Oryzias latipes: one gene and its partners. The protein of the gene in region 1 interacts with the protein of each later gene in a pairwise test. Links are inferred from orthologs where the notes say so. Each region holds a gene or a part of one and is shown in the gene's direction. Other genes may lie near its edges.

Region 1 (3,500 bases):
GCACCTCGTCCATGTGGCTGGATGTGTTTGTCGGTGATCTTTTCGCTGCAATAGGAGCAGAAGATGAACAGCTTTTCATTGTTATTCACTACTGCCCCACTGTAGTCGTTGCCCTGATGGAAAGATGACGGCGTTTCATAAAACGAAAGCACCACGATGGGCCTCCATGAAAATGTTCAATTTTCATCTCTGCCTTCAGTGGAATGGTGACTGTAGAGACACTTAGTCCATCGCTCCAGTCACTCTTCCAACTTGGGCCGCCACGCCTTGTTTCCACGGAAACTCAGCTGTGTCATCTTGATTGTTGGAGTTTGTTTTCCAGCTTCCTCCACTTGTGAACCATGGATTCATTCATCTTAAATTCTCTGCAGCTGCTCGATTCCCATGTTCCTCTGTGTAGCTGATAGCTTGCAGTTTAACTGTGCTTCATTATTGTGTCTCTGTGCAGCATATTCAGGCTTTCCAAACAATGTTGTTCTGCTTAGTGCACATACCTGCACTTTAGTACTATTTGGGGGGTGTCTTCTTTCACGTCCTCACTTCTTTCCTCACCGTTGTCATGCTGTCCTCTCCTACGTCCTCTTTACCAAAGTCACACAACAACACATGAGACGCACCGCACCATAGGGCGCTCCGTACATTTTGGAGAAAATATAAGACTTTTAAGTGTGCCTTATGGTCATGATGATACGGTGTGGTTTTTTCTAGTCTGTCAGCATCATGGCCTGAAGTCGCCTCAGTTCCAAAATGTCGGTCTTTCCAGCACAGTGGAACAGTCCGTGTGATGACCGAAACCTGTCTGTTTTCCAGCTGGAAGAACACCGGAACACCCAAAAACAGATGCGAGTCCTGCAGAAGAAGCAGAGCCAGCTGGTCCAGGACAAGGACAACCTGAGGAACGAGCACAGCAAGGCCATCCTGGCCCGCAGCAAGCTGGAGAGCCTGTGCCGGGAGCTGCAGAGACACAACCGCACCCTGAAGGTGAGGAGCCCACAGCGCTGTGATGCTGCTGAGCAGCCAGCTGGAACAGTGACTGTCTCTGCAGGAAGAGGGCATACAGAGAACCCGGCTGGAGGAGGAGAAGAGGAAGGAGGTGACGTCTCATTTCCAGGTGACGCTGAACGACATCCAGGCTCAGATGGAGCAGCACAACGAGAGAAACGCCAGCCTGCGGCAGGAGAACGCAGAGCTGGCCGAGAAGCTCAAGAAACTCTACGAGCAGTACAAGCTGAGGGAAGAGGTAAGTCCTGGTCCTGCCCCGCGGGGTTCAGTCTGCTGTCAGTCAGGGAGGCTTCATTTCCAACTGTGCCCTCCCCCAACCAGCACATAGACAAAGTGGTGAAGCACAAAGACCTGCAGCAGCAGCTGGTGGACGCAAAGCTGCACCAGGCGCAGGAGCTGCTGAAGGAGTCTGAGGAGCGGCACGAGAGGGAGAAGGACTTCGTAAGGATGTTTTTTACCCAAACACCCCAGAGTGCTGTTCACGGGGTCCTGGGACACAAATGTTATTTGGTTTTTCCCCGGACAGCTGCTGAAGGAAGCCATCGAGTCCCAGAGGATGTGTGAGCTGATGAAACAGCAGGAGGTTCACCTCAAGCAGCAGGTTGTCCTCCTTCTCCCCCCTCAGCTCCGTGTCTTCTCTGCTTTCCCTGAATCTTTTCTTTCTCTTCTCAGCTGTCGCTGTACACGGAGAAGTTTGAGGAGTTTCAGACCACGCTGTCCAAGAGCAATGAAGTCTTCACCACCTTCAAGCAGGAGATGGAGAAGGTGAGGCCCTGGAGGCTCCGCCCACTCTTGAAATGTGGCTCAAGCTGCTCCAGCAACACTTTTCTGTGTTCAGATGACCAAAAAGATCAAGAAGCTGGAGAAGGAGACGGCCATGTACCGCTCCAGATGGGAGAGCAGCAACAAGGCTCTGCTGGAGATGGCTGAGGAGGTGAGCTGCTGTCTGTGCTTCTCCAAAGAAGACGTGCTGTCTGGAAAAGCCCCCAAAACACATGCCGTGTGTGTGTGTGCGTGTGTGTGTGCGTGTGCATGCATGCAGAAGTCGCTGCGGGATCGAGACTTCGAGGCGCTGCAGCTCAAAGTCCAGCGGCTGGAGAAGCTGCGGCGAGCGCTGAAGGTGGAGCGAAACGAGCTAAACAAGAAGGTCCAGGGCCTGTGTGGGGAGCCATCCAGCGCCACGGGGGCTCCAGGCGCCGACCCGGGGACCGACTCCCCGTCCCCACCCCCCACAGACTCTCTGCTGGAGCCCGCCTCCTGCTCCCGCCCCTGCCAGTGTGAGCCGGAGCCCAACGCCCCCCTCCAAGAAGCAAGCGCTGCTGCCCTGGCTCAGGAATGAAGCCTCGGGCTCCTGCAGCAGCAGCAGCCCCCCCCCCCACAGCTGCTGCTCCTCCTTCACACGCCGCTGGAAGAAACGGGACAGACGGAGCAGAACGGCCGGCGGGTCCAACAGGTGTCCGTCTCTGCAGACCGCTTCTCCAAAGCACTTCAAATGTTGCAATAATCCCATTTCCTGCAATAATCTGATTTCCACCTCTTGCTGGTTGTCACTTCTGCCGCGTTCTGATGTTGTAGTCTGCGGCGTGGAAGGGCGGTCCTGCAGCGCGTCAGCCGCAGTGTGGGACGTAGTTTAGCGTCAGACCCAGTCTCAACAGAGACTAACTGGTCTTTAGGCAGCAGTGTTCTGGGTCAGGGGGAGTGATGAAGGCCGTTTCCCACAGACTCATCTCAACCTCTGCTGGGGGCCGCGGGGCTTCACCCCTGCTGGGGGGGCGTTGGGGCTTCACCCCTGCTGGGGGCCGCGGGGCTTCACCCCTGCTGGGGGCCGCGGGGCTTCTGGCTGAAGTCAGACTCTGGGATTGTCTCCTGGTCCGCAGAAGCTCAGATCAGGTTTTAGCAGAAGAATGTTCCGGCACTTCTATGCAACGCTCGCTTCCTGCTGTCGTGTGCGGCGGTCTGAAGCACTTTGACGAGAATGTAATTCTGTTTCCCGGTTGGATCTCTGTTGACTTTAAGGGAATGTTTGGCGTCTGCCATGATTTTAAAAATGTTCACAGCCGAACGGAAAATAGAGAAACTTCAGATTCTTTTGGACTTTTTTCTCCAACCCTTTCTTTTTTCTTTTTAAACTTTTTTCTGCTTCTTTGTTAAAATGATGAATACTAAAATTCAAAAGCTAAAGTTCATTTCCTCTGTTGTGCCCCGGTTTATTGGTCTGAAGGAACCAAAGATCCTCCCCCCGTCTGTTTTTGTCTGCTCCTGGATGTTTCCTGCTGAATAAAACTCTAATGTGTTGAGGAGACTCTTGGGTTCTTTTACTCACTATGTCAAACATTTGATCACCTCTACAAAAAGGATGCAAAACTTAAACGAAATATTGAAAATGAACGAAAAAAATGTATTTTAAAATTGAAGAAACACTGAAAATTAAAATAAAAAAACAGTAAAACTTATCAAATGGAAAAAAGTATTGAACAACTGCTGTTTTGTTTTTTGAA
Region 2 (4,092 bases), on another chromosome or scaffold:
ATGGTTGGCCCTCAAACATTTTCGTCTCACCAAATCTGGTCCTCTTTGGTTTATAGACAAAGTGGTCAAATGTGGAGGCTCCTATTGTTGCAGATCCTGGATTTAATATGTTGCTTCCTTAAATGAAAAACCTAAAAACGTAATTGAACGTCGATCCTCTATCTATAACATACAAACAATCACTTGAGAATCCATAAGAAAAATGCAGGAGTCGCTGTGTTCAGAAGAAGACACAGAATCCTATCAACAATGGAAATGTCATCATCTGCTTTATCAATCAATAAAATGCAGTGAATGAACCAAAGAGAAATCTAAATCGATCATGGAATGACTTTTCTTCCTTTGGAGTAGAGGACTTGGGCGGGATTGGACCCACCTCCTCCAGCGTTAAAAGTACAGCAGCATGGATGGAACAGATCTCTGATCCTCGGAGCACAAACCAGATTGTTTTTCTTCTCAAAGTGAGGCCATCGCACAAACAACGGTTTGTCTCCATGCAAGTGTGTGCAGCTTTGGGGGGAGTTGAGCAGCAAACTTTGCTGGCAGCTCCAAAGGAGAATGACTTCACTTCTTCCTGACGAGGCAGCCCTCCCCCCGCAGCCGATGCCAGATGTTTCTGTGCAAAGAACCAGGCTGAGATAAGCTCCACACACTAACACACATCAGGTCAAGACCAACACATGTGAGACGGGATGTTGTGTGATTTCCTGAACAATGAAGGGGGGTGAATGATAATGTGTGGATAACATCACATGTTTGTGGTTCGAGGCTGCAAAGCCTGCAAGTATCCAGTCGGCTATGTGAGCTCTGACCACATACAGACAAAATGATTGAATTTAAACAGAGCTGATAACAAGAATCCATCCTGGCTCCTAAAGAATTCCTGAGAGGGCCTCTGACTGCTCAGACTATCAGAACGCATTTAAACTCAGCTGGACAAACAAAGTGAAATAATACACCTGGGAGGTTTAAACCGTAACTGTGGATATTATCAGGATGAAACATGCCGCTCACACTGACTATTGACTAACGGAGGGGCAACAAAACAATAAATCTACCCTTCCTTTTCTCGCACTGAGCTGCCAAGTGACTGGCATGATCAGGACAATACCTGCAGGTATTTCTGAGCACACGTTACAGTTGCTTGTGCTCACATTCTACAAGGAATCATCAGGGTGCCCATGAAGATTCTCCTCTGATCTGCTCACATTCCTCACCACTTTCCTCACAGGGGTGGAAAATAACCAAATCCCAGAGCTTAAAAGAAAACAAATGACGGTTTTGCACAGCCTGAGCCTTGACTGCAGAAACTTCCTCCTCCTCCCCACGTTCAGAGCCCGCCCCACATTCAAAGCTATTTTAACGGCCGTCCTCCCTCCATCAAACTCCACAGTCCTGCAACAGTCCACAGCTGTGAAACACTCGTCTCCTCGTCTTCTCCTCTGACAAGCAGAAAGTCAGCCGCCATGTACAACAGGAGCATCGCCAGCGGTCCTGGGCTCACCATCACCAGGCAGAGCCGCAGCTACACTTCAAGCGCTGCTCCCCACAAAGCTCACAGCGTGTCCGGTCTCAGCTTCATGGGAGGCTCCCGCATCTCATCTGCCACCGGGCGTACCGTCTCCTCTTCCTTTGGAATGGGTGGAGGGTTTGACCTGTCCAACGCCATGGACCAGAGCTCCGTGCACCTGAACGAAAAGGCCACCATGCAGAACCTGAACGACCGTCTGGCTTCCTACCTGGACAAGGTTCGCAGTCTGGAGGCGGCCAATGCCAAGCTGGAGAAGCAGATCAAAGAGTACTATGAGCAGAAGGGCCCGGCAGCACAGAGGGACTACAGCAACTACTGGGCCATCATCAATGACCTGAAAGACAAGGTATGGTCTGTGCCTCTGCCACCTGCAAATGTTTGCCGTTCCTGTCAATGATTTCCAGACAACACTTTTTTAAAGTGAACATATCTGTGTTTTCTTTGCGGCTGAAAGATTCCACAAATGAACCACAAATATTCAGCATGACAGCTTAACAGGAGGAAGTCAAACGTGCCCTAAGGACACAATTCAGTTGATGTAACAGAAACATCTGAAGTTGTGTAAACAGTCATCAAAGCGTGCCGCTCTGCACATGCCTGACACTAACTAACCCCATCCCCGCTGCAGATCAACGGTGCCACCGTCCAAAATGCCAACATCCTGCTGCAGATCGACAACTCCAAACTGGCTGCTGATGACTTCAAAACCAAGTAAGCACTGATTCAGAGGGCCTTCATGCAGGCTCTAGCGGGCAGTTGTCTAACATCAGGCCTCTTCCTAACTTACCAGGTTTGAGCACGAGCTCATGATGCGACAGTCAGTTGAGGCTGACATCGCTAACCTCCGCCGCCTGCTGGACCAGACCACCTTGACAAAGGCTGACCTGGAAATGCAGATCGAAGGTCTGCAGGATGAGCTGGCCTACCTGAAGAAGAACCACGAGGAGGTCAGTGATGTGACACCTGGTTTTTATAGTCTCTGCAAACAGACACCAATGCTGACGTCCCCTGATGTTTGCAGGAACTGGCAGCCATGCGCTCTCAGCTCACGGGCACAGTCAACGTGGAGGTGGACGCTGCACCTCAGCAGGACCTGAACAAAGTCATGGAGGAGATCCGTGCACAGTATGAGGCCATCACAGACAAACACCGCCGCGACCAAGAAGCCTGGTTCACTGAGAAGGTAACAGGAGTTCCTCTGTCAGCAGGCCAACCTGTCATCACACGTATAATCATACAGACCTCTCACTCTGTCTTCTTTTCTAAATTCTAGTCATCAGCTCTCAGCAAAGAGGTGGCCGTTAGCACAGAAGTAATCCAGACATCCAAGACAGAGATCAATGACCTGAGGCGCACACTCCAGGGCCTGGAGATCGAGCTGCAGTCCCAGCTCAGCATGGTAAAGACAAACGTTTGTTTTAAAATCTTTCCTTATATGACCAAAATCCCCAGATCGCCCAGAACAGAGGGCGAGGAGCGAAGGGGAGGATGGGAAAGAGAGGCAATCCTTAAGGAATGAAGGGAGGATGGAAGGTGGGAGGGAGACACTTTGTTCTGGGAAACATTTCACAGACATCTGCCTGAACTCTGGAAGTCATAAAAAAGCTGGAGGAATGAGAGGCTGTTTCTGGTTGGGGTTTGGGTGCCCAGCTGCAGTCAGTCATTCAGCAGGAGCCTCCCACTGCCATTGTGTCACTGAGGAGGAGAGGCAAAGGGACACTTACCTTCAGAGCCAGCTCTCTTTGTTCTCTTACAAAACAGGAGAAAATGCAAAGCAAACAAACCGAGTGACATACTGCATCCAGGGTGGGGCGCGCTGAGCGCAGCTGCAGGATCAGTGATCCACAGCTTTTCTTTACCCCAACAGAAAGGTGCTCTTGAAAACACGTTGGCAGAGACAGAGGGCCGGTTCAGCGCCATGCTTAGCGGCTACCAGAACACAATCAACATGCTTGAATGCGAACTAGGCCAAGTGCGCGGCAGCATTGAGCACCAGGGCCAGGAGTACAAGATGCTGCTGGACATCAAGACCAGGCTGGAGCAGGAGATCGCAACCTACAGGAGACTGCTGGAGACTGAGGAGGCCAGATAGACAAAGGTGCACACAATCACAAACGTTCAAGTAGAAATACATGATTTGATCCTCTTTGACTCATCTTTGTCATCTCTTCTTCTCTCCTTTTAGATAAATGACTGCAGGTAAGTTGGTTTATTTGAGGAAAAGTTCACAGGAGGAACTTGAAGAATTGTGCTCAACCAGTTTCCTCCCTGCCTCTTAACAGGAGGCTTCAATGACACATTCACAACCACCACTGTGCCCACGTCCAGCCAAGAAGTCCAACATGCAGGCCAGAAACCAGAGGAGACCAAAAGGCTCGTTTTCCCAACATCTGCTGTCATGAGAAGAAGAGCTGATGTGCGGCGCTGTGTGTGTGTTCATGTTTGTGTGATCTGCCAAAGAAAATAAACCTGCTGGTGAAGATAAGACCTGTGTTGTTCTAACTTCACTGTTCTCCCACGACTTCCAATTCTTTTTCCATGACCTCACTTTGTTTGTGTGG
Region 3 (4,239 bases), on another chromosome or scaffold:
TTCAAAGAGAACACCAATTGATCTGGGATCAATCATTACCTCAAGTACTTAAAGAATTGCCTATTATTTAAAAAATCAGAAAACTCAGTTTCCACCTTATTTATTTATCCTTACCTCACTTAAATTCAGGAAAAATAAAAATGCAAGGATACTTCCCACCTTTGTTGTTGACAGTAAGTTATCAGAGCCCTCAGTGATATCAATGCATTATCTTTATTTTGCAACTTTTACAGCTAACTAATTTGAGCATTTGCAACACAGAGTTAAAGAAAAATTATAAAGATGAACCAATCCCCCATCTACTGCTAGCTGTGGCTGTTTAGCCTTCTTACCTTGCGCCCCTTCCCAACAGGTGAAACATTGTTTTCTGTCATCAGACACATTATTCCAATGGTAAAATTTGAAGAACTTGTTTATGAAGTTTTCTTTAAAGTTTCCTTTTCTGTTTTCAAATGCTAAAGTTGAGTTAAGACAAGGTGTAACTGCGTAGCAAACGTTTTCTTTTGCAGTTAAACATTCCAATTCCATTCTTTTCCCTTCAGCAAGATTTTGCAATCCCTTCTTAAGTTAATTTCATTAAGAATACTTGAGTGTAAATATAGCAAGTATACTGTCAACCATGTACATAGTGTAGGAAGTACACTAACTGAATATTTCTTCAGATTAAATTGAAACATTTTACGTTTACAATACATAGATAGTATATAGAAAGCAAACTTAGTTTCTACTTTTAGCATAAACTAAGTATTTTTGTCCCACACTTTAACAGACTACCTTTTGCTAAGGGTTGTGATACTTAAAGAAAAAAATATTTAAATTGAATGCTCTGTCACAATAAAAACAGTGATGAGAAAAAATAAACTTGTTTTTAAAGTCTAACATTGCAAGTGCTCATGGGGCAGAACTGTAAGATCTTGTGCTGGCAGACCTGTGACACAATCATGTTCTCACACTCAAAACAATTGTGTGTAGTAATTTAAGCCTTCAAGTTGTTGTAACTACAGATTAAAGTGCACATTTTAGGGACAAATTCTATTTAAATCACAGAGCACTTCAGTACTAAATGTTTAAACATGTACACTAAAGTCTGTGCTGGACCTTTCTAAATCTACCCAACCCTAAAATGCTCAAACGGCACAGCCAGAGCTAGGACTAAGTCACAAGTTGTTGTTGACAACCACTGGCTGTTGCAGTGTTAACATCCTAATTCTCAAAGGGAAATAGAACAACGTCTTGAAAAAAGTTAACGATCTGATCACAGTAAACTTCCAAAACATACAATACCCTAAGCTACAAACAAGCAGCAAATGGCCCCCCTTCGGTCACAGGTATAGACCGTACAGTAAGTCAATGGTCACAGTCAGCACCGGGGTGTTTGGGGTTTGTTCTTTCAAATAAAGTTTTTTTAAAACGTGTGGGTTTACGTGTTCTTTTAAATAAAGTTTTCTTTAGCGTATGGGTTGGAGCAGTAAGTTTACGTCATCATTTCGACACGGCGGTAAAAACAAATCAAAGGGCGGCGACAGAAGCGAACTAATGTTGTTTTTCTGCTCTTTTTTGTGCGTTTGAAGCGCTGCTTTCCTTTTGCTTACAGGTAGAACAAACCGCATTTTATCTTTTGAACGATACGTCACAGTTTTATCCGGATCGACGAAGTTATCATCATCAAATTCGAGCTCAGATTGTGTGTTGGTACTTGCTTGCTAGTTTAGCTAATTTTACAATTTTTGTTGCATTCCGTCTGCATTGTTTATATGCATAATGTTGTAATAATTTAGTTTATATTCTTTTTGAAGTACCCCCTCCTATCCTTCCTTTGTTTAGCAGTTCACCATGATTTCCACTGGAGATGTGCAGAGTGGTCTTCGTAAACTGGAAAGCCTTTTACGAGTGATCAAATACCCAGAGGATGTCGATTATAACAAGTAAGGCTTCAAGTGCCACAATTATGTCATGTAAATGTGTCCTCTATAGGTCATTTCTAATCCTGAATGCCTCCCAACCACTGCATGCTGCTGAATTAAAGACCCACTCCACTGAAAATGCTGTTTTTAACATGTTATTGTGGCATTTTTCGGATGATGGAGGAAAAATATATAGAAAATCATACTCAAAATTGCATTTCTTAGTATGTTTTTATTTAAGTGGTATGAGCAGACAAAAAAAAGCCCTTTGAAAAAGATTGTATTAGTGACAGAAAATATCCTGTGTTCCCTCCATTCTGATTAATCCACTACTAGATCCACATACATCTTTGTTTTCCTTTAGCTGGCATCTGGCTCAAAACTGTGCGGCTGGATAGCTCTGAAATGCTTGCCATCATTATGGCACTACTAATGTTAGGTTGAGGGTGTGAGGGGGTGTAAGCCAGCAGAAGAACGAGTAATCAGATGGGCGACGGGTAGTGGGGTGGACTTTCTTTGCCCCAAATGTCCTGTCTACAACTCAGTGGAGAATTTCTAATGAGCTACTGCTGCTCTGCAGAAGCTACGTCTGTCCTAGAAAATGGGACTTGTTTTTTTATTTGGGCTTATAGCGGCATAATCATAATTAAAGGACCTCTGATCTGAGAAACACTTAAAACAGACCAAAAGATAATTGAAGTGGGACTTAAGTTCATTTTTGTATCTACAGAGAACATTTGGGGCTTTCTAATGATACCAAAAGTGCAAAGGTGTGGGGCTCTGGCTATTATAGTTTTTGTGGATTAAAAACATTTTTGATTGAAAAATATATTTTTTCTGGTATTCAGAAAGATACAATTCTAATAAATACAGGTTGATCTAGAAAACAGAAAATACATTTTATTATAATGGCAGCAAACTTGAATAAAAACAAAAAAAGTTGTAATTTTTTCCAGGCTTTCCAAAGGAGATCCTTCAGCTTTTTTGCCAATCGCGAGCTTCACCCTCACCACCTTCTCTCCACCTTTTGCTGAGCTGCTCATGACAGCTGGATTTGAACTGATTGGGAAAACAGACCTCCGTTTCACAGATACTCTTTACAAGGTACGTTCAGGAATATACCAACGACTCTTCATCAAACGGACCGGCCTCTACCTCTGTGATGGGGCTCTTCCTGCCTCTTTATCTCGACTGTTTTGTGTTTTAGTTGCTCCGGGATGTTTTCCACTACAAGCCCGTACTCTCCAAACAGCAGTTCTTCCAGTTGGGTTTTTCTCAAAGGAAAATTTCTTTCATTTGTGACATCATTAACTTGGTGCTGCAAAAACACGGCCAATTAAAAAAGGTGTGTGGGCTCTTGTATTCATTTGATGTTGAGTTGTACGTTTCTGTCATAATAATTATAAACATATCCGTCTTTGATGACATTTAAAAATCTGTTTTTACAGCAGATCATTTTTTTGGTTCAGGTAATAGTTCATCTCTTTGCAACTCTTCGAACACTACTGCAATTATATTTACTGTCAAGCAGTATATTTGTAGATTTGGTGGCTTTACAGTTATTCCGGAATGTTTATAATGTTTCTTATTTGTCTTGGGGAAAACAAATAGTGATGTCTGATCAAGTTCTAGAAATGAGTTGTTTGGCTGTTTGATTTGTTTTCTTTTTTACATGCCACCTTTACGACTCACTCTGATCATCTTTTGATCTATTTTCTAAGTGTCCCCAGCAGTCTTTTAATGATGATTTTGCCATTTTTAGCCCCCCCAAAAAAGAAGAAACCTGTCATTTTTCTAGGACATAATTTCTGCAGAGCGGCAGAAGTTCACTAGAAATTCAAATGAATTTCTAAGTTGAGTTTTAGAAATAGAGCAGAGCAGGGAACTTGTGGCCCACTGATTGTAGTTTCTTTGTAACAACTACAAGCTTTTGCCAACAGCATTTTTTTGTCTGTTCCTGAAGAAATACTCAGAAAATGCTAATTTAAGCTTTTTTTCTTCATACACGTCCTCCATCATCAGAAAATGCTGCACTAACATGTTAAAAACACAACTGTCATGCAAGTTTAAAGGACTTTTAATCTCCTTGTGTGTCTTTTGCAGCCCAAAGTCAGACGCCCTGTCTCACACAGTGATGTTGGAGTGGAAGGTCATACAGTAAACCCTGATCCTCCCAGTGTAAGGCAAAGTCAACTGACACGAACAATTAATAAGTGCTGTTCTTAAAGGTTATATGCAACTTAGCATTTGCAGTAGTATTTTTTCACTTTGGCAAAAAAGTCTTAAAATACTTGATTGTATGTTAAAGCAACTCTTCCCTACCTTTTGAAAATTC
Region 4 (4,007 bases), on another chromosome or scaffold:
GGGGGGGGGTCTTTTAAAAAGTGACTTCTTTCTGAATCACCTTATTTTCAGACCAGCCTTGTCTTTGTGAACATTAGGTTTCAAATGAGAAACAACTACACAGATATGCTGACCTGAAGATTATTCACAACCACAAAAACAGAAGTATTTTTTTAAAAAACGTTTTAAATTAAAAAAAAAAAACAGTAATGAAGCCTCTAAAATTTTTAAAAGCTTTCACTTGGATATTTTGGGGGAAATGTTCATTCTTGAAGACAAACATATATGGTTCAAATTCCTATGAAGTCAGTATGCAGTTTTCAGATGCAATGGCAAAAATGCATTTCATTTCCATCTTTGAATCCCTCTTATTTTGACAATCAGGAAGTGGCCTGGTTGCAAAAAAGCTTCACTATTATCTCACTGTTGGCAGCCTCAACAAAACAAACTTGCTTTGGATGTGTGTGTTCATGCTGAGTCAAAGTCAGAGAAACTTAGACTACCAAATAGTTCCTTAGCACAGCTATAGTGCACTGCTACCCAGGGGATGGGTCAATGCACACAAATAATGAGATTTTATCCTGAATTTAACATTAACACTTTGACCCATAACAAAATAATAATAAAATAAATAAAAAATCAGGAAGTCAGAGTAATCTTAGTATTAATAAACATTGTTGCAATATGTTGCCTAGTTTTGTCTTTGCTTTTTGTATTGTATCAGAACAACTTTTATCATGGAAAATACATTCTTAAAAAAATGTATGCAAAGAGATAAATAGGCAAATAAACGTACTACATATTTAGTTCAAGAGAAAAAGTTGCTTTTAAATCGTTTACGTAAATTACTAATTACTAAAATATTGTAATAATTCCTTTTTTTTACCCTGTAGACATTTTACATCCTTTATGCACTAAAATAACTGCAGCTTGTCCAGTATTTTTAAAATAGTAATCATTGTTTAGATCATTTTGCAAAAACTTTAGAACACAGACTGAAATAACTTTTGCAAAATTTGGCTGTTTTCATCAACATTTTACATCTGTTTATTTAGTAATTTAAGTAAAACAATTTACAAAAAATATTATTACTTTTCTATGAATTATTATTATCCGTGGTTCCAAAAATAATTTAAGATTTTCCTCCTTGGAATAGGCAAAACGTACTTTTTAGCATGATATTCCTTTTGCCACCACTAGGTGACAGTAACTTACAATTTGAGGTAAAGTCTTTATTACGTCATATCCTTTCTGCTTTAGAAACAGGTATGGCGGCGGCAGCAGAGAAGTCAACAAAAGAGCGGCTACTTTCTGTGTTGGATGATTTGGAGGTGTTATCGCGGTAAAGGAAACAGCTCATATTTTGTTTTCCGTGTTGTAGTTAGGTAGCGACACAGTAGGCGGGTTTACGGCTTGGTCTGCACAGTCCTGATTCGAGTCCAGAAGTCCAGTGGAGAGTAAAGGCTCATGAGGCTTAGTTCACGCTTTGAAATTAAAGCCCCCCCCCCGGGGGGGCTTTAAATGGCCTCCGTTGTGCCGCGTACTCCACAGCTCCTCGTGCTGAATCCTCCATGTCTGCTCTTCTGTTTCAGGGAGCTGATCGAGATGCTGGCTCTGGCCAGAAACCAGAAAGTTCCTCAGCCAGGAGAGGACACACAGGTGAAGGACACAACTTTTTTATTCTAGTTCAACACTCCAAAAGAGCCACTCCAAAGAAAATTGTGTTTTTAAAATGTTCTTGTGGCATTTTAAAGATGGTAAAAGACATTTACAAAAAAAAGTATGCTTAAATTGTATTTCTGATTATTTCTTTAGTTAAATAGTTGTCATCAGGAGCAGATCATCTAAAAACATGAAAACAACAGGCTTGGCCTCAGCCATCAGGGCGGCCTCTCTCTTGATATTCCAGCATTTATTTGGATATGGCCATGTTTAAAAAAAATGAAGAAAAAAAACATTTCATGTTTTGGGTTTGAGCTGTGCAGCACTGTCACCTCTAGCCATTTGAAATGATGCTGGTCTCCATGGAAGCAAAGGCCACAGTCGACGTCTGATCAGTGCTGCTTCTTGTGTTTATTGGAGAGCCTGTTTTGTCTTCAGATCCTGGAGCTTCTGGTGCAGAGGGACAAGGAATTCCAAGAGCTGATGGAGGTGGCCCAGCAGCAGGGAAAGATTCATCAGGAGATGCAACTGTTGGAAAAGGAAGTGGAGAAGAGAGACAGTGACATCCAGCAGCTGCAGAAACAGCTGAAGGAGGCAGAGCACATCCTGGTGGGTTGAGGTTGTGTGTATTTTTGCTTCATCTGATACTGCTGTAAGGTGATGTAGTTACATTCACAGGTGCATTAGCAGAAATCCTCATTCTTCTAGCACATAGGCAGATTAAGCCAGTCTAATGCATTCTCCATATAGGCTGCTGTAAGCAGATCTATGGCTGTGCTGGCTTTAGCATTTGTTGAGTAAAAGTATAAAAACTCTAAAAGGCTAAATATCTTTTGCTGTAAAAAATTAACTCAATGTGTTGTAAATCTGGCAGTTTACTACAACTGTAAAAAAAAAAAAAAAAACCTGTGACAAATAATTTTTTTTGTAACATATATGTTGAGAGCTAAGTCAATTAAATAATATAGTTCAAAGTAATCTAAAGATTGCTTAGTCATCTGGGTCATTACAAATTTCACCACTGTCTGAAAGTGTAACAGTTTAAAGCAGTGCTTTTCAAATAGTGGGGTGCGCCCCCCCGATGCGATGCCGGGGGGGGGGGCGCGCTATAGTGGCGGTTTTAGGCACAGGTTATACAGACAATTGTCCGGTGCTCATATTTAACGTGGGGGCGGTGATGACAGCGGCTCAGTGCTTGGGGAAAAAATCTGCGCCTCTATTCGGTTCCTATTGTCTGTAAAATCACAGAGTTTGTGACAACCTGAAACCTGTGAATTCCTGTCCCTGTAGCTGCGCGCTCCCGTCTCCTGTCACACGCGGCTGCGTGTGTGAGAACGAAAGGGGAGGGGTAGTGGGCTCAGTCTGCCAGGTGAAACGGGGCACGCGGAGAACTGCAAGCCCTGTTGCCCAACACTAGGATCATCCCATGCCTTTTGAGGACTCAGCTAATGCTAATAATGTCATTCTTTATCAACTATTGTAGACATTTTGATGATGCTTCTTTTCCAGCACCTAAAACAGAAAGGTGTAGGAATGACGGGGTCACTGGATCCAGATCTAAGATCACACTTGGAAAGCAGCTTCTGTCAATCTAAACTGACTTTTTCTCCTTCAAGGCCACTGCAGTTTACCAGGCCAAGGAGAAACTTGCTTCCATTGAAAAGGCTAAGAAAGGTGAGCAAACACACTTGTCTTTCAGTCTGTGGATTTGGATGTATCATTTTGTGTCTGGTAACATCCAGATACTCAAGCAGCTGTGTGACTTCAGCGTTGACACTCAAAGATTTTAGTTTAAGGTTTTCGTTAAAGAATTCATTCCTTCTTCCATTTTAGGTAGCATCTTCATCTCTGCCAAAAAAAATAATTACTCTCTTGTGCCATCTTTTTGTATCGACTCAAGATTTGGCATAAAAAAACATTGGTTCTCATTAAATGACCTATATCATGCAAAATCAATTTTATTTTTAGCTTTTTATGTATTATATTTGTTAATTCCTCTTGAAAAACGACCCCAGAAGAGTATTTTGATCCTTTAATGCATTTCTGAGTTTTCCTCTAAAAACCTGCTCTCTGAGCACCAGCCCCTCCCAATCCCCAAAAACAGGCGGGTTTTCATATTGCAACAAAAATGAGCTGCTAAGAAAACCGGTATTTCATTTAAAAATTGATGGGGCGGCAGGTGCTTATGCAGGTGCTTAGGCAGTTTAGCAGATCGTCCAATGGTCGAAGAGTCGGCGGTTTGATCCCTGGTCCCACCACTCAACTGTCGTTGTGTCCTTGGGCAAGACACTTCACCCTCCTTGCCTCCAGTGCAGCTCCACTGCTGTGTGAATGTGTATGAATGTCCTGGTGATGGTCAGAGGGAC
Region 5 (4,106 bases), on another chromosome or scaffold:
TATTTCTTTTCCAGGTACATTTTGAACTCTTTTACCTTATTATTTTTAGACATTTCTGAGGGACTATTCAAACTACATTCCAATTCATATCTGAGACAAAGCAATTTCAATAAGACATAATAAATGGATGAGTTATAAGACCACACTCCAAATCACACAGAGCAAATCTTAAAGTTGAAATACCTAAATATAGACAGCGCGTGACTGGTCCCACCAGAGACTTGATCACTTTGGACCACTGCTAAACTGCAACAAAGAATGCATATTGCTCTGTTCCCAGAGCTGCTTCAGGACTTTCTGAGTCTAGTCCATCTCATTCCAGCTACCGAACAGACGAACAGAGAAATCAAAGCTACAGCCTCAGATCTGGATGAACTGAGAGATATCAGTTTTTGTAATGATGCATTTGCAGACCAAAACGTTCTGCACGTTCAACACCAACAAACCACAGTTCAAAACTACCGTAAGCTGAGGGGACTTCCCCAAACTATAAAATATTTAAAGATGTAAAATACGTCATTAGAAGCTGTGTCTGTGCGTGCAAGCATGCAGATATTTTCCTGCCAGTCAACGACGATCACGTCTGCATCTCTAGTCGGAAATCCACTCAGTGCAGACAAGAAAACAGACAACATTGTGCTGAGTTCAGCACTTGTTCAGTTTACAGCAAGCGAGCACAAGAGTTATTGCCAAACACACATGAATATAAAGAATCAAGTAAATGCAAAATCAAAGAGCATACACACCTCCACATTCCTCATTTAAATAATCAATTAACTTAATTACAGATGTTGTTTGAATTAACTCATCTAACTGCTGAGACAATCCTGTAGCTTGTAGAATTATACTTTTTCACCTTCAAATTTGTATACAAATCCATTAATATTAAAATTTTAATACGTTTCTGATAATCTTTTGAAAACAAAGTGAATAAACATTTATTTTCATTCTTTAATTTATTTAAACATTTAATAAGCAATGGGATGCAATATAATTGTTTTTGAGGGGTTCCTCCTTTTAGATTTATAACAGAAATAAAAAAAAGATAACAGAGTAGAGTTAAGAACAAACAAATAAAGAGAAACAAAGAAAATTCAAATTATGATACATGGTAGGTATTTACCCAACACACACACAGGCACGCACATACACACATATATGTGTGCATAAATATGAATATAATTAGTTTTAAATAACTGACACTCAGTATTTGAATAACAGTAGTTCGACACATGGCTGCAGGATTGAGGTCTGGGCGGCAGGGGGCACTGACGAGCTTTTTCAGACGAATGGCTGCAGCCTCGGTGAGACTCGAAGAAGAACTGAAGGCTACGTCGCAGCAGCATGGCGGCTGCAGAGCTGTCCCCGAGTCCGGGTTTCCCCCCAAACCCTCCCGGTGAGGTTTTGCCCGAAGCCCCGGGGAGCCTCCGGGACCTCGGCCTGGAGGTCCTGCAGCGGGAGGCCGGGGAGCTGAAGAGTCTGCGCGGCGTTGAGGGGCTGCTGGAGAGGCTGAAGGAGGAGAACGTCGCCCTGGGGGAGCAGGTGAGCGCCGCCGGTCTGTTTGTAAACAGCTCGGGTAGAGCAGCTGTGGACCTGGTTCTGTGAGAGCCGAACACCCGCTGCCTCCAGCCTTTGAGCAGCACACTCTTGGACGGTTTCAGAGCTGTCAGCTCTAATGACAAAGACATTGATAGTTAAACAGAAGCGGATGATGAGTTCACCTGAAATCAGGTACGGAAGCGCGCATGCGTGGTTCCATCTAATGGCCTGCAGATGTCAGAGGAAGAAGATGGTTCATGAAGAACTTTTTTTAAATTCTATTTTTTCCTTTAAACTATATAATTGTATTTTCGTGGGTTAAAACTGCTTTTCTGTTTTTAAAGTAAGAATTCGTGGTTTTATTGGTTAAAGTCTGACTTTAGTTTAAAACAGCCGTTTTTATTATCAAATAAAACTGGTTTTAAAATATAAAATGTTTTTTAATCTAACCGTGTGAATCTAAAACATAAGGGGTCAGTGATGCTGTCCTCTTTGAGCAGAAGAGATCGGTTTGTGGAAGGGAGAGTTTGGTGGCAGGGTTGCCGTGGAGACACCTTAAATGAGGAGGAGGTCCTGTCAGTGGAGTCGATGGTCGTGTCCTCAGGCTGTCTCTTTGGAGGAGCTGAGGAGACCTCTGCAAGGAGGATGCATCAGCCTCTGAACGTCCAGGAAAAGGCTAAAGCCAAAGTGACTTCCAGCTGTGTTTTGTTCCTCAGAGCAGATGAAACGTGTTCACACTGTTGGAGGGAGTCTGACAGGAAGTTCTCTTCTGGGAAACTGGTTCATGACGCGTTTTATGGCTCTATTCTGGCTATTGTTCATTCATTGATTCATTTTCTACCGTTTTGTTCCTTTCGGAGTCTATCCCAGCCACTTGCGGGCGATGGCAGGGTACACCCTGGACTGTTCGCCAGTCTGTCGCAGGGCCACAATCACACACCCATTCACCACACACCTAGGGACAATTGAGCTATGAAGCATGTTATTAACTATGACCTGTAATTAGTTAATCTGTTTTCAACCAAACCCTAATCATGTCTGTGAAAAGCCTCATTTTGAGGTATTTTCATTTAAATTTATGACGACAGAAAAAGATCAAAATACAACTAAAATAGTGACTTTCTGAAGTTTTGTATCATAACAAACTTCCAACCTTTACTTTTACACCAACAAGGGGTATTCATTATAATTAAATCCAATTAAAAGAACTTAAACATCAGGTCTAGAGTGCTCTGATTGATCAGTAGGAGCACTTTTCTGTGTTATCCAAAACATGTATGAGATCTTCCTGTTAACTCTACATTGACATACTTTATTCCTCAGTTTAATTTACCAGAGCCAGCAACTCGTCAAGTCGCTTACATAACAGATGAACTGTTAGTGTGCAGGAGGACATCTGTGAGGGTCTGCATTTGTTTCTTCAGAGCATCATGACCAGAGGAACATGCTTGTGTGCTGCAGGTCCTGACCGTGAGCAGCTCCGTGCCGCCGAAGGTCTCTGCTGCTCTGTCTGCTGCAGAGGAGGCCGGCTGCAGCCTGAAGGAGCTGCTGCAGAGAGAGGAGCTCATCTCCAGCAAGCTGCAGCAGGTAGGTCCACAGCCCCCCCATCTCAGGAGGAGACTCGGACTGCAGCTGTCGGAACCACAAAGCGCCTCTGAGTATTCCTGCAAAGGTCAACGATCAGCTTCTTACTTCAATGAACTCCTTAAAGACCCACACCAATGAAAATAGTATTTTTGGTGTTTTAACATGTTCTTGTAGAATTCTTCTGATAACGAAGGACCTATATTAATGAAAATGAACATTAAAAGTACATTTCTGAGTATTTATAATGTTTAAGTCGTTGTGAATCAGGAGCAGAGGAAAAGATGCTGTTTGAAAAAAATCCTACTTGTGACGTAGAAAATACGCCAGAAGCTCCCTGCTCAAGCTCTATGTAATTGGAAGAGAAGAGGGGCGGGGTTGTTTTCAACTAACAGTCCCCCCAACAACTCAGAGATGAATTTCTGGTGAACTCCTGCTACTCTACAGAAAGTATGTCCTAGAAAACGAGTCTTTTTTAGATTTCGGCTAAAAACGGCATCATCATCATTAAAAGACCACTGGGAACGCTTTGAAATCAGATCAAAAGATGATCAGAGTGAGACTTAAAAGGAAATTTTTCAAATTAAATCTTTTTCCTTATTTAAACCAATTTCTTATGCTTTCAGACGTGTTTTATGAAATTAAATACAAATCTTAAGTTTCTCTGCTGAGAGTAATAAAAGCTTTTCCAAGTGTTATTCCATTTAATAATGTTCGTGCATTTTAAATGGGGTCAAATGGGGGCCGGTTTAGCTCGTGCTGGGTTGCGGCACCTTCCGTCCGTGAAACCAGGGTTCAAATCCAGGCCGCTCCCTATTCCCCTCTCTGCTGCTGTGCCGGTCCCAAGCCCAGTTGGATTGAGAGGGGTTGCGTCAGGAAGGGCATCCGGCATAAAAACATTGCCAAGTTAACCATGTGACCTTCCTCAAGGGAGGGTTGTTTCACTGTGGCAACCCCTGATGGGAGAAGCCAAAGTAAAAGAA
Region 6 (3,500 bases), on another chromosome or scaffold:
GAGTCAGTCCGACAAACTGACGGGTTGTGTTTTTACGTCTGTAACACTTTTGCTAATAAACATCTCAGACCAAACTCTGGTTTTTCACAGGAAAAACCTGCAGAATCTCAGACCGACTGATAGTTTTTGACACACCAAAACAATCTAAGTTGGTTGCCACGGTGATGTTTTCTGACAGACTCATAATTTTATGATCATGTATGATTGGAGTGGGGGCATAGATCATCTCCAGAAGTCAAACTTTTGATTCCAACTTTTCCTGAAGCAAAGGTCTAAGCCTTAGACCTTTGTGTTCTTTAAAGGATGATACCGCGGCCGCGTGTGGGAGGAGCTACTGGTTCTGGTCTGATCGCTGCATGGAGCGATGTGTGCATCAATGCATGGTAGACACTGAGAATGTGGAGAGATCAGGTTTATTATTTTGAAGAGTTCTACTTGGTAATCATGTTTCCATGTTTGAGTTCATAAAATCATCCCAGAGAAAGTCTCTGTTTCAACTCCTGCAGGGAAAGCTGCGTCTCAATCTGACGCCCGTGTTTGCATCTCTGACAGAGTTTGAAGCCAAAGCCTCTTTACCTGCTTTTCCTCTCTACCTGTTCACCTGTTCACATCCTCTGCTGCTGAGAGTTGTTTCCCCCGCGCTCCTCAGTCTGTCCTACACAGAGAGCACAAAATACGGTCATCATAGGTTGACACGGTAGTCGGGGCGCTCCAGCGCAGCACAAGGATGAAAGAGCCGGACGCAGGTCATAGCGGGGAGAGAGCGGGTTAAGCAAATGAATGGAAGAAGGCGGCCCGCTGAAGAAATATTCAATATTGTACACATTTTATTATTAGTCTGAACTATCTTTTATTTAAAAAAATCTTTTATTTTATCAGTCCAGTACGAAAAAAAACATCAACAAAAGCTGTGTTGGGCGGTTTTTGGCTGGGTCTGGCGGTTTTCAGATGACTTTTGGGCTGGAAAACTGTGACTGTATCTGGCAACACTGGCGCAAACTCTCTGTCATCAGAAAGTTGGTCTCTGCTCCGCGGCACGTCAAGTTCCCGGCAGAAGACCACTCCGGACAACCAGAGTGTTTATTGAAGCCGCCCCGCGTGCCTCCTCCTGCTATCAGCTCTGCAGGTCTCGCCCGATAAATACGAGCTCATTAAGGAAGCTGTTTTTGACGTGGCACTCGCTTCGTACGGAGCCATCAGCGCCTTTGAAATGCCATGAAAAATGAACAAACTAAAATAAAATTTAATTATTATAAAATACTCATTATTTTCCAAAGTCACAGGGAGCCACAACAGATGGATGAAAGAGCCACATGTGGCTCCGGAGCCATGGGTTGCCGACCCCTGGTCTAAGGATTCTGAAAATCAACTTCTCCAGGGCGGTCTGGAAGCTTGACCTGATTGTGATCTGTCTTGCCCCCTCCCACAGAAGTCCCCAGCCAAAAAGCTGAGCCATGCTATCAGTAAATCTCTGGGCTGCGTCCCCATAGGAGAACCCCCCCACCCCATGTTCCCCGAGCAGGCAGAGAGACCATTAGAACCCCCCCACACTGTGTAAGTATGTCATCAGCTATCATCACACAGCAGGTATGTTCCCGCCCCCACCCACTCATTCTCATGGTAGATGGTTGTAGCATGTCGTTCTTGTCGAGCCACTGCCGTCAAACCTTACAGCTACGACGAAGCTTAGACCGCGTTCGCTTACAACCGGCATTTCTGAAGTTTAGAGAAATTCCAGGACAAAGTTACAGGAACCAGAGACCAAAAAGGGTCCAAGGACAGGAGGAGTCGTCCAGGAGGTCATGACAGAAGATCAGACCTCACTGGACTCAGGTCAGGTCAAAGGTCATGATCCAACAGTCAGAAAGAGACTTTAGGACAAACATGGATCCATGAGAGACGCTGCTGAGGAACAGGAACATCTGGAGGTTCCACTGGACCTCTGGACTGATGTTCTAATCAGACACAAGACGAACTTTCTGGAACATCTCATATTTGGCTGATCGTCTAAATAATGGATGAGGCCTCATCAATCCTGCCTCCGATCTTATAAACCATCGTGTTTATGGGATGAATTATGTCAGCAACTGGAGAAGATGATGGTCTTTGATTTATTTTTCTTCATGACATCTCAGTTTTCTGGTTTGTAGAACAAAGCATGTTATTTCTTCTCTTGGTTCTTTAGTCATTCGGTTGTTTGTAAGAATGAAACATTAAAGAGTCGTGGAAATGTTCATCCAAACAGACTCTGAATGAAGAAGAGAGTAGTGTTTATTTTATTTGATCTGTCCAACATTTTGCTTCTCTTCCATGAAGTGATCTGGGAAGTTGGGATCCGGAATAATCTGAGTTTGATCTCCTACAGGATCCTGGAAAGTCCCAGTCGTCTGGATGAAGAGCACCGGCTCATTGCGCGATACGCTGCCCGGCTGGCAGCTGAAGCAGGGAACTCTGCGGTCAGTTTTGGGATTCACTTCTGTTAGTTTGTTTTTAGGATTTAAACTCAACGTTTGCAGAAATCCTCAGTACTTGAATTTATCTAACAGTTTATGTTCGTAATCATCTGATCAGAGTCAAGATATCACCTTATTGGTGGCCCCTTCACCTCTGTTTTCATTTCTAGTCTGTACAGATGGAGAAACCATAGATTTGAGTTTAGTTCAGAAAACCAGTTTCTGTCTGCGCTGCTGGTAAAAAGGTAAAAAGGTAAATGATAAAATGGTAAATAGGAAAAGGTTGAATAGTAAATGACATGTACTTGTACAGTAGAGCGTTTTTCTACCTTCCTTGTAAGTCCAAAGCACTTTACACTCCCATTCATCCACACATTCACACACTGGTATCCTCAAGTCAGAAAATATCGACCAAAAAAGCTTTTTTTCAGCCTGGTTTCTGTGTTCAGGACTGTGTTGTTTCATCTGCTCAGCAGTGTGAACTCGGTTGTCTTTGTCTCTCCAGCAGCAGTGTCCACCTGCAGACCTGGGCTTTAACTTTGATGCTAGCAAACAGCAGAGGCAGCTGATCGCTGAGCTGGAGAACAAAAACAGGTAAAATCTGTACCTTCATGCGCAAACCAAAAAGGACCAAGGCCCCCCAGCTCAGCTGTCACATAAGGCTGAGGTGGGGGGCCTGTGGTTGTGGCTTACGGACATAACAACAGTACGGAGCACCTGGTCTATTTGGAGTCTCTAAATTGGAGACCAGAAAGTGTTCTAAAGGAAACCCAGAGGTTCTAATGGGAGACTTCAGTTCCCAAGAGAAGAACCGCTGATTCCTGAAAGGTGTGATCGAGAAGACTAGCCTCACGGATCTAAACCTGAAAGGTGATTCGTTATCAGACGTCTGTTTCAGAACGGCCATAACGATAGTGAAGCAGATTATTAGGTTAGGTTAGGTTAGGTTAGCAGAGGTCACAACCACATGCTAACCACACGATAACCACATGCAAGCCATGCCTTAACCACGCGCCAACTACATGTAACACTACGAGTTAGCCTGTT
Region 7 (4,224 bases), on another chromosome or scaffold:
TCAGATACTAGCTGAGCGTTCACTCCTGTCATTTCACTTGTTTTCTAAGATTACATACTTGGTACAAATGAGCACATTTTCCATCTCAACCCACTTTGTTTTCCTTCAGGATGCCATCACCAGCTCAGCAGGAAATATCTGTTTCCTTAGCAGACGACTTTGACTTTTATTTATTTTAAACATGCATCTAAGGCGAGGCCAGCCTGAGGTCAGACTGTCTTCACATTTTCAAACAATGTCAGCAGCGAAAGATAATCCCATTTAGAGAAAAGCTCACTGAATTTATCGTCTGAATCCTTTCAGCATCAACTGTTTACTCCAAGCTCAAGGTCCACGGGATAAAGAGCACGCTGTGACCCGATAACAAATTCAGTCCTTTTTTTTTTTTTAGCTTTTTCTATTCCCATCAGCATAATGTTTATCATGTTATTCTGTCTTGTTTGAAAGCAGCTGTAAAGACACAACTTTCTTTAAAGTGGAGCTTTCATTATTTCCTTATTTTACACCTACCTACCTTGTTAAGTTCTGCAACCTGCTCAGCATCACTAAAGGCGCTGAATTCCCTGTTAGTGTGGTTCATATTTGAGCCCAGTTTCATTTACACACACATAAACCACAGGATGCATCCTGTTCTGCATCAGTTTGGCTGTTTCCAAAACATCTTTGGACCAAATCATCATCATGTGCACACAAGTTCAGTAAATGCACAACAAAAGCACTGAAGAAGAAGTGTTAAGTTCGTTACAGTTCATGCATAAAGTCCTTCAAAAATTTTACTGACATTCCCTGAAATCCATTCAGATCACCAACTTTTACTATGATTATTTTGGATAAAAATGAACACAAACACTGGGCAAACGGTGAGATCTTTGAACCAGCAGAAGAACAACTTGTGAAGTCTAAGAAGGAAGCAGCGCGTGAAGCAGTCAACAGGATGCGGGCTTAGCGCTTCAGGATGCGGGCACAAAGACAGACAGACAGGTGGCTCTCCTCTTCTTGCGGGAACGGCGTTACTACTCCCCGGCGTCTGCGCCGCAAGCGCGCCCCCGTCGGACTCACCTCTGCCGCTGGCGCCGTCCACCAGACCGTGGAGCCCGCACAGACACACCAGGACCTTCAGCAGCGTGAAAGCGGCCATGTTCACCGAGGACGGCTGCATTTTCCGCGGCTTTCTTCCTCACGTCTGCGGCTACAGGGTGATATAATGGCAGTGCTGGTTCACAACTTTCGACCCGGACGTTCAACGGCTGCTTTTCAAAATTAAAGCCCGTGCAGGGTGATTTTCAAGCCGAACGTTGCGTACACACGCGCACGCGCATGTGCGCGAGTGGCTTCCTATTGGTCGACAGATTCCTCTTGCCATTTTGAGGCCTGGGTCACGTGACATCATATCCACACGACCGCGTGCTCCGCCGATGTGCCCCATTAGTCAAGGCAGACAGCAAAACGTCGGCCGGAGACAGGAAACAAAAGCAGAAACGTGCATTTAAAAGCCCCAATCTGCAATAATCATCACAATCGTTTAGCCTGTATGCTGTTTTAAGAAAACTATATGCACTTGTATTACTTTTGTCACTAAATAATTGTACAATTACTTAACGATTCTTCAAAAGATTCCCGAATCTTAACACTTAAGGATTTTATTGTGAAAACTCAAAGCGGAAGTGATTCCTTAATGCCGTAAACTCGTCGATGCTTCTGTAAGCCTCACTGCTCCTTTTGTAGCAAGAGAAGTTCAACGGAACCTACATATTTTCTTCGTGCTCAGGTAAATTGAATTCATTGCATTGCTTGTAAACATCTAAATGGTCTAAAGTAGCTGTAAGCTAACAGTGTAGTCATGAACCCACTTTGGATGGAGCGTTACTTTGCTGCAATGCTAGCATTAGCTCAGATAGCCTGGCGTTTTAGCAACCCGATTAGCTCCACTCGTGTTCAAAATAATCATCTTTTATTTTTGATAGTCGCCTTACAACAGTCTCCAGCATCGATAATCTAGACGACCCGGCCGTCTGGTGTTCTATTTGTATTGTTTGTTACTGGTAGAATCGGAATAACGGTGGTTGTTGCCTAATAACTCGGTGTGGTTTAGCTTCACATGATCGTGCAGCCCCTTCAGCGAGCCTGTAGGAAAACTCTCAGGGTTAGACTGTTTGACGGATCACCAAATTCCAATTTATTTACTTTATATTTGGATTGATTGTGAGTTGACGTGGTGTTATGTGAACTTTTTTAAATTAAGTTAAATCCATTAAATTCAAACACAAATCCTTATGAGTTTAAGCTACTTTTTTTTAAATGACATCAGACATGTCTGATGTCATTTAAAGTGACTGCATAAGATTCATAGCTAACTGTATTTTGCCAAATAATAAAAACTGTCCTGACAGTGATGATGATCTCATAATCTTGTCTCCATATCTGCACATCCAGACTGAGAATAACGACATTTGTTGTGTTTCTTTTGGAAGAACCAGAACACTATGAATCAGGAAAAGCTCGCCAAGCTTCAGGCCCAAGTCCGAATAGGAGGAAAGGTAATGGCTTCCAGCATTTTCTCTGCTGTTGAGTTTTTTTCCTGTTATGGTCTCCTCTGTGGCTCATTTTGGAGTGCAACGGGTTTTTCAGCATTTGTGGGGTCGCTGCTGCTGACCTCAGCGTTTTCTCTTTGTTTCTGTTTTTGGCCCCTTCATCTGAGGCCCCTGTGGGTTTGTTCACAGCTATGTGCCACCACTTAAAAGCCAACTAAATGTACATAATCCCTACATTTTTATTTTATCCTGCTACTACAACTTAATTTCCTTACCGGGTTGAATAAAGTTAATTTTAATAATTTTGTTTGAGCCAAAACAAAAAAACAATTTAAGTGTTGTGGTTTTTTTTTTTAACCCATTGATGCCTGAATTTATTTCCAGTTATGGGAAAAGTCACTTGTGTTTTGCTAAATTAAAGTACTTTTGGAACTGAAGTAGTTTGGTGCACATTTGCGTCAATAGACGCCACAGAGTTAACCAAATCAGTCCTTTATTCACAGCAACAGAGCACATTTATAGAATTCAGACAAAACAAACAAATCAATTCTGCAAGTTTGCATCTGAGGGTCAAAGCTAAAAACATAATTGTAGACAAATATCTTAGTTTAAACCAGATTAAATACTACAGTTAATATTAAATGTTGATTATTACTATTATCATTTATTTGGGATCATCACATGATTGACGTAAGTTATAGATTATTTGTAGGAAAGATTTATCATAGAAAGTTCATGCAAGACGCTTTGGTCTTGCATGAACTTTAAATATCAAATATATTAATTAAATATATAAATATAATATGATAAAATAAGTGTACTGTTGCTTTAATTCGACGAGCTTTTGCCTGTTAGAAGATCACAGCCGTTGCTTTGAAATGAATAAATTACAAGCAGAAACGCGAGATACACGGCGTGACCCGGTGTTTAATTGCTTCTGACATTTGGGTTCAGTCGACTCTCTCATCTGTTTTTTTCTTTTCTTTCCACAAACACCCGTTTTTTTTTTTTTTGTCCCTCAGGGAACCGCTCGCAGGAAGAAAAAGGTCGTTCACAAGACGGCGACGGCGGATGACAAGAAACTGCAGGGCTCTCTGAAGAAACTGGCGGTGAACAACATCGCAGGAATAGAGGAGGTGAGCCTGAGTGAGAAGAGCGAGCCGCCGCCGCCGCCTTTCATCAGTCCAGCTCCGGTTTCAAAGCGGAGCAAAGCTGCAGGCGGTCGGGGCGGTTTGTCGTCGGATATTAGAGTCTCAGCGTTCAGTTACGTCCAAATCCCGTCAAAAAAGTCCAGAGGATCATTGACTATTAAGAATTTAACCTTCAAAACGGTTCACTTTGTTTTGTTTGACCTCAATTCCTTTAACAACCTCAGCTCTGTGGCTTTATTTTTATTTGTTTTGTCATTTTGTCGTACAGTATTAACACACTGGACCAAAAATCCACACAAGAAAACAAAATCTGAGATAGAAGTTTGAATTATGTTAATATTAAAATCATAAAAATGTTAAACGTACTCTACTTTTACACTTAAATGAAAATATACGGTAAATATAGAAACACTAGGAAGTTGGCAAACAAAAAAATGCTGCAAATGTCTTTTTTGTTACGCGTTTCAGAATGATAGACAGACACAAACCCATTATGAACATTTTCCAGCTGAACTCGCACGGCCTCGTCACCAGGATCTTCA

What was found.
Region 2: the proteins of txlna (region 1) and keratin, type I cytoskeletal 13 interact in binary tests that used the Homo sapiens proteins (3 or more experiments, as listed by UniProt). The two-hybrid records come from large-scale screens. The link is inferred for Oryzias latipes from reciprocal best matches to the Homo sapiens genes TXLNA and KRT15.
Region 3: the proteins of txlna (region 1) and cep44 interact in binary tests that used the Homo sapiens proteins (3 or more experiments, as listed by UniProt). The two-hybrid records come from large-scale screens. The link is inferred for Oryzias latipes from reciprocal best matches to the Homo sapiens genes TXLNA and CEP44.
Region 4: the proteins of txlna (region 1) and med4 interact in binary tests that used the Homo sapiens proteins (3 or more experiments, as listed by UniProt). The two-hybrid records come from large-scale screens. The link is inferred for Oryzias latipes from reciprocal best matches to the Homo sapiens genes TXLNA and MED4.
Region 5: the proteins of txlna (region 1) and rint1 interact in binary tests that used the Homo sapiens proteins (3 or more experiments, as listed by UniProt). The two-hybrid records come from large-scale screens. The link is inferred for Oryzias latipes from reciprocal best matches to the Homo sapiens genes TXLNA and RINT1.
Region 6: the proteins of txlna (region 1) and dystrobrevin beta interact in binary tests that used the Homo sapiens proteins (3 or more experiments, as listed by UniProt). The two-hybrid records come from large-scale screens. The link is inferred for Oryzias latipes from reciprocal best matches to the Homo sapiens genes TXLNA and DTNB.
Region 7: the proteins of txlna (region 1) and btf3l4 interact in binary tests that used the Homo sapiens proteins (3 or more experiments, as listed by UniProt). The two-hybrid records come from large-scale screens. The link is inferred for Oryzias latipes from reciprocal best matches to the Homo sapiens genes TXLNA and BTF3L4.

The regions. Positions count from the first base shown.
Region 1 is NC_019869.2:26,641,672-26,645,171, forward strand, and holds the end of txlna (alpha-taxilin), read left to right. Parts: intron 1-810; coding exon 811-981; intron 982-1,045; coding exon 1,046-1,240; intron 1,241-1,323; coding exon 1,324-1,443; intron 1,444-1,528; coding exon 1,529-1,603; intron 1,604-1,674; coding exon 1,675-1,767; intron 1,768-1,840; coding exon 1,841-1,936; intron 1,937-2,044; coding exon 2,045-2,341; 3' UTR 2,342-3,304; downstream 3,305-3,500. UniProt on the Homo sapiens protein: May be involved in intracellular vesicle traffic and potentially in calcium-dependent exocytosis in neuroendocrine cells.
Region 2 is NC_019859.2:29,293,824-29,297,915, forward strand, and holds keratin, type I cytoskeletal 13, read left to right. Parts: upstream 1-1,292; 5' UTR 1,293-1,466; coding exon 1,467-1,877; intron 1,878-2,159; coding exon 2,160-2,242; intron 2,243-2,321; coding exon 2,322-2,478; intron 2,479-2,552; coding exon 2,553-2,714; intron 2,715-2,804; coding exon 2,805-2,930; intron 2,931-3,398; coding exon 3,399-3,619; coding exon of another isoform or gene 3,620-3,623; exon of another isoform or gene 3,624-3,629; intron 3,630-3,716; coding exon 3,717-3,720; 3' UTR 3,721-3,730; intron 3,731-3,813; 3' UTR 3,814-4,016; downstream 4,017-4,092.
Region 3 is NC_019859.2:27,433,464-27,437,702, reverse strand, and holds the start of cep44 (centrosomal protein of 44 kDa), read left to right. Parts: upstream 1-1,439; 5' UTR 1,440-1,594; intron 1,595-1,824; 5' UTR 1,825-1,833; coding exon 1,834-1,925; intron 1,926-2,844; coding exon of another isoform or gene 2,845-2,860; coding exon 2,861-3,008; intron 3,009-3,111; coding exon 3,112-3,249; intron 3,250-4,007; coding exon 4,008-4,082; intron 4,083-4,239. UniProt on the Homo sapiens protein: Centriole-enriched microtubule-binding protein involved in centriole biogenesis. In collaboration with CEP295 and POC1B, is required for the centriole-to-centrosome conversion by ensuring the formation of bona fide centriole wall.
Region 4 is NC_019879.2:14,006,626-14,010,632, reverse strand, and holds the start of med4 (mediator of RNA polymerase II transcription subunit 4), read left to right. Parts: upstream 1-1,207; 5' UTR 1,208-1,247; coding exon 1,248-1,321; intron 1,322-1,571; coding exon 1,572-1,638; intron 1,639-2,079; coding exon 2,080-2,250; intron 2,251-3,257; coding exon 3,258-3,315; intron 3,316-4,007. UniProt on the Homo sapiens protein: Component of the Mediator complex, a coactivator involved in the regulated transcription of nearly all RNA polymerase II-dependent genes.
Region 5 is NC_019881.2:11,288,139-11,292,244, forward strand, and holds the start of rint1 (RAD50-interacting protein 1), read left to right. Parts: upstream 1-1,306; 5' UTR 1,307-1,344; coding exon 1,345-1,542; intron 1,543-3,000; coding exon 3,001-3,126; intron 3,127-4,106. UniProt on the Homo sapiens protein: Involved in regulation of membrane traffic between the Golgi and the endoplasmic reticulum (ER); the function is proposed to depend on its association in the NRZ complex which is believed to play a role in SNARE assembly at the ER.
Region 6 is NC_019880.2:83,019-86,518, reverse strand, and holds part of dystrobrevin beta, read left to right. Parts: intron 1-1,429; coding exon 1,430-1,554; intron 1,555-2,365; coding exon 2,366-2,456; intron 2,457-2,958; coding exon 2,959-3,047; intron 3,048-3,500.
Region 7 is NC_019875.2:4,321,099-4,325,322, forward strand, and holds the start of btf3l4 (transcription factor BTF3 homolog 4), read left to right. Parts: upstream 1-1,424; 5' UTR 1,425-1,768; intron 1,769-2,471; 5' UTR 2,472-2,483; coding exon 2,484-2,537; intron 2,538-3,553; coding exon 3,554-3,667; intron 3,668-4,224. Other genes in the region: txndc12 (thioredoxin domain-containing protein 12), read right to left, coding at 1,060-1,159.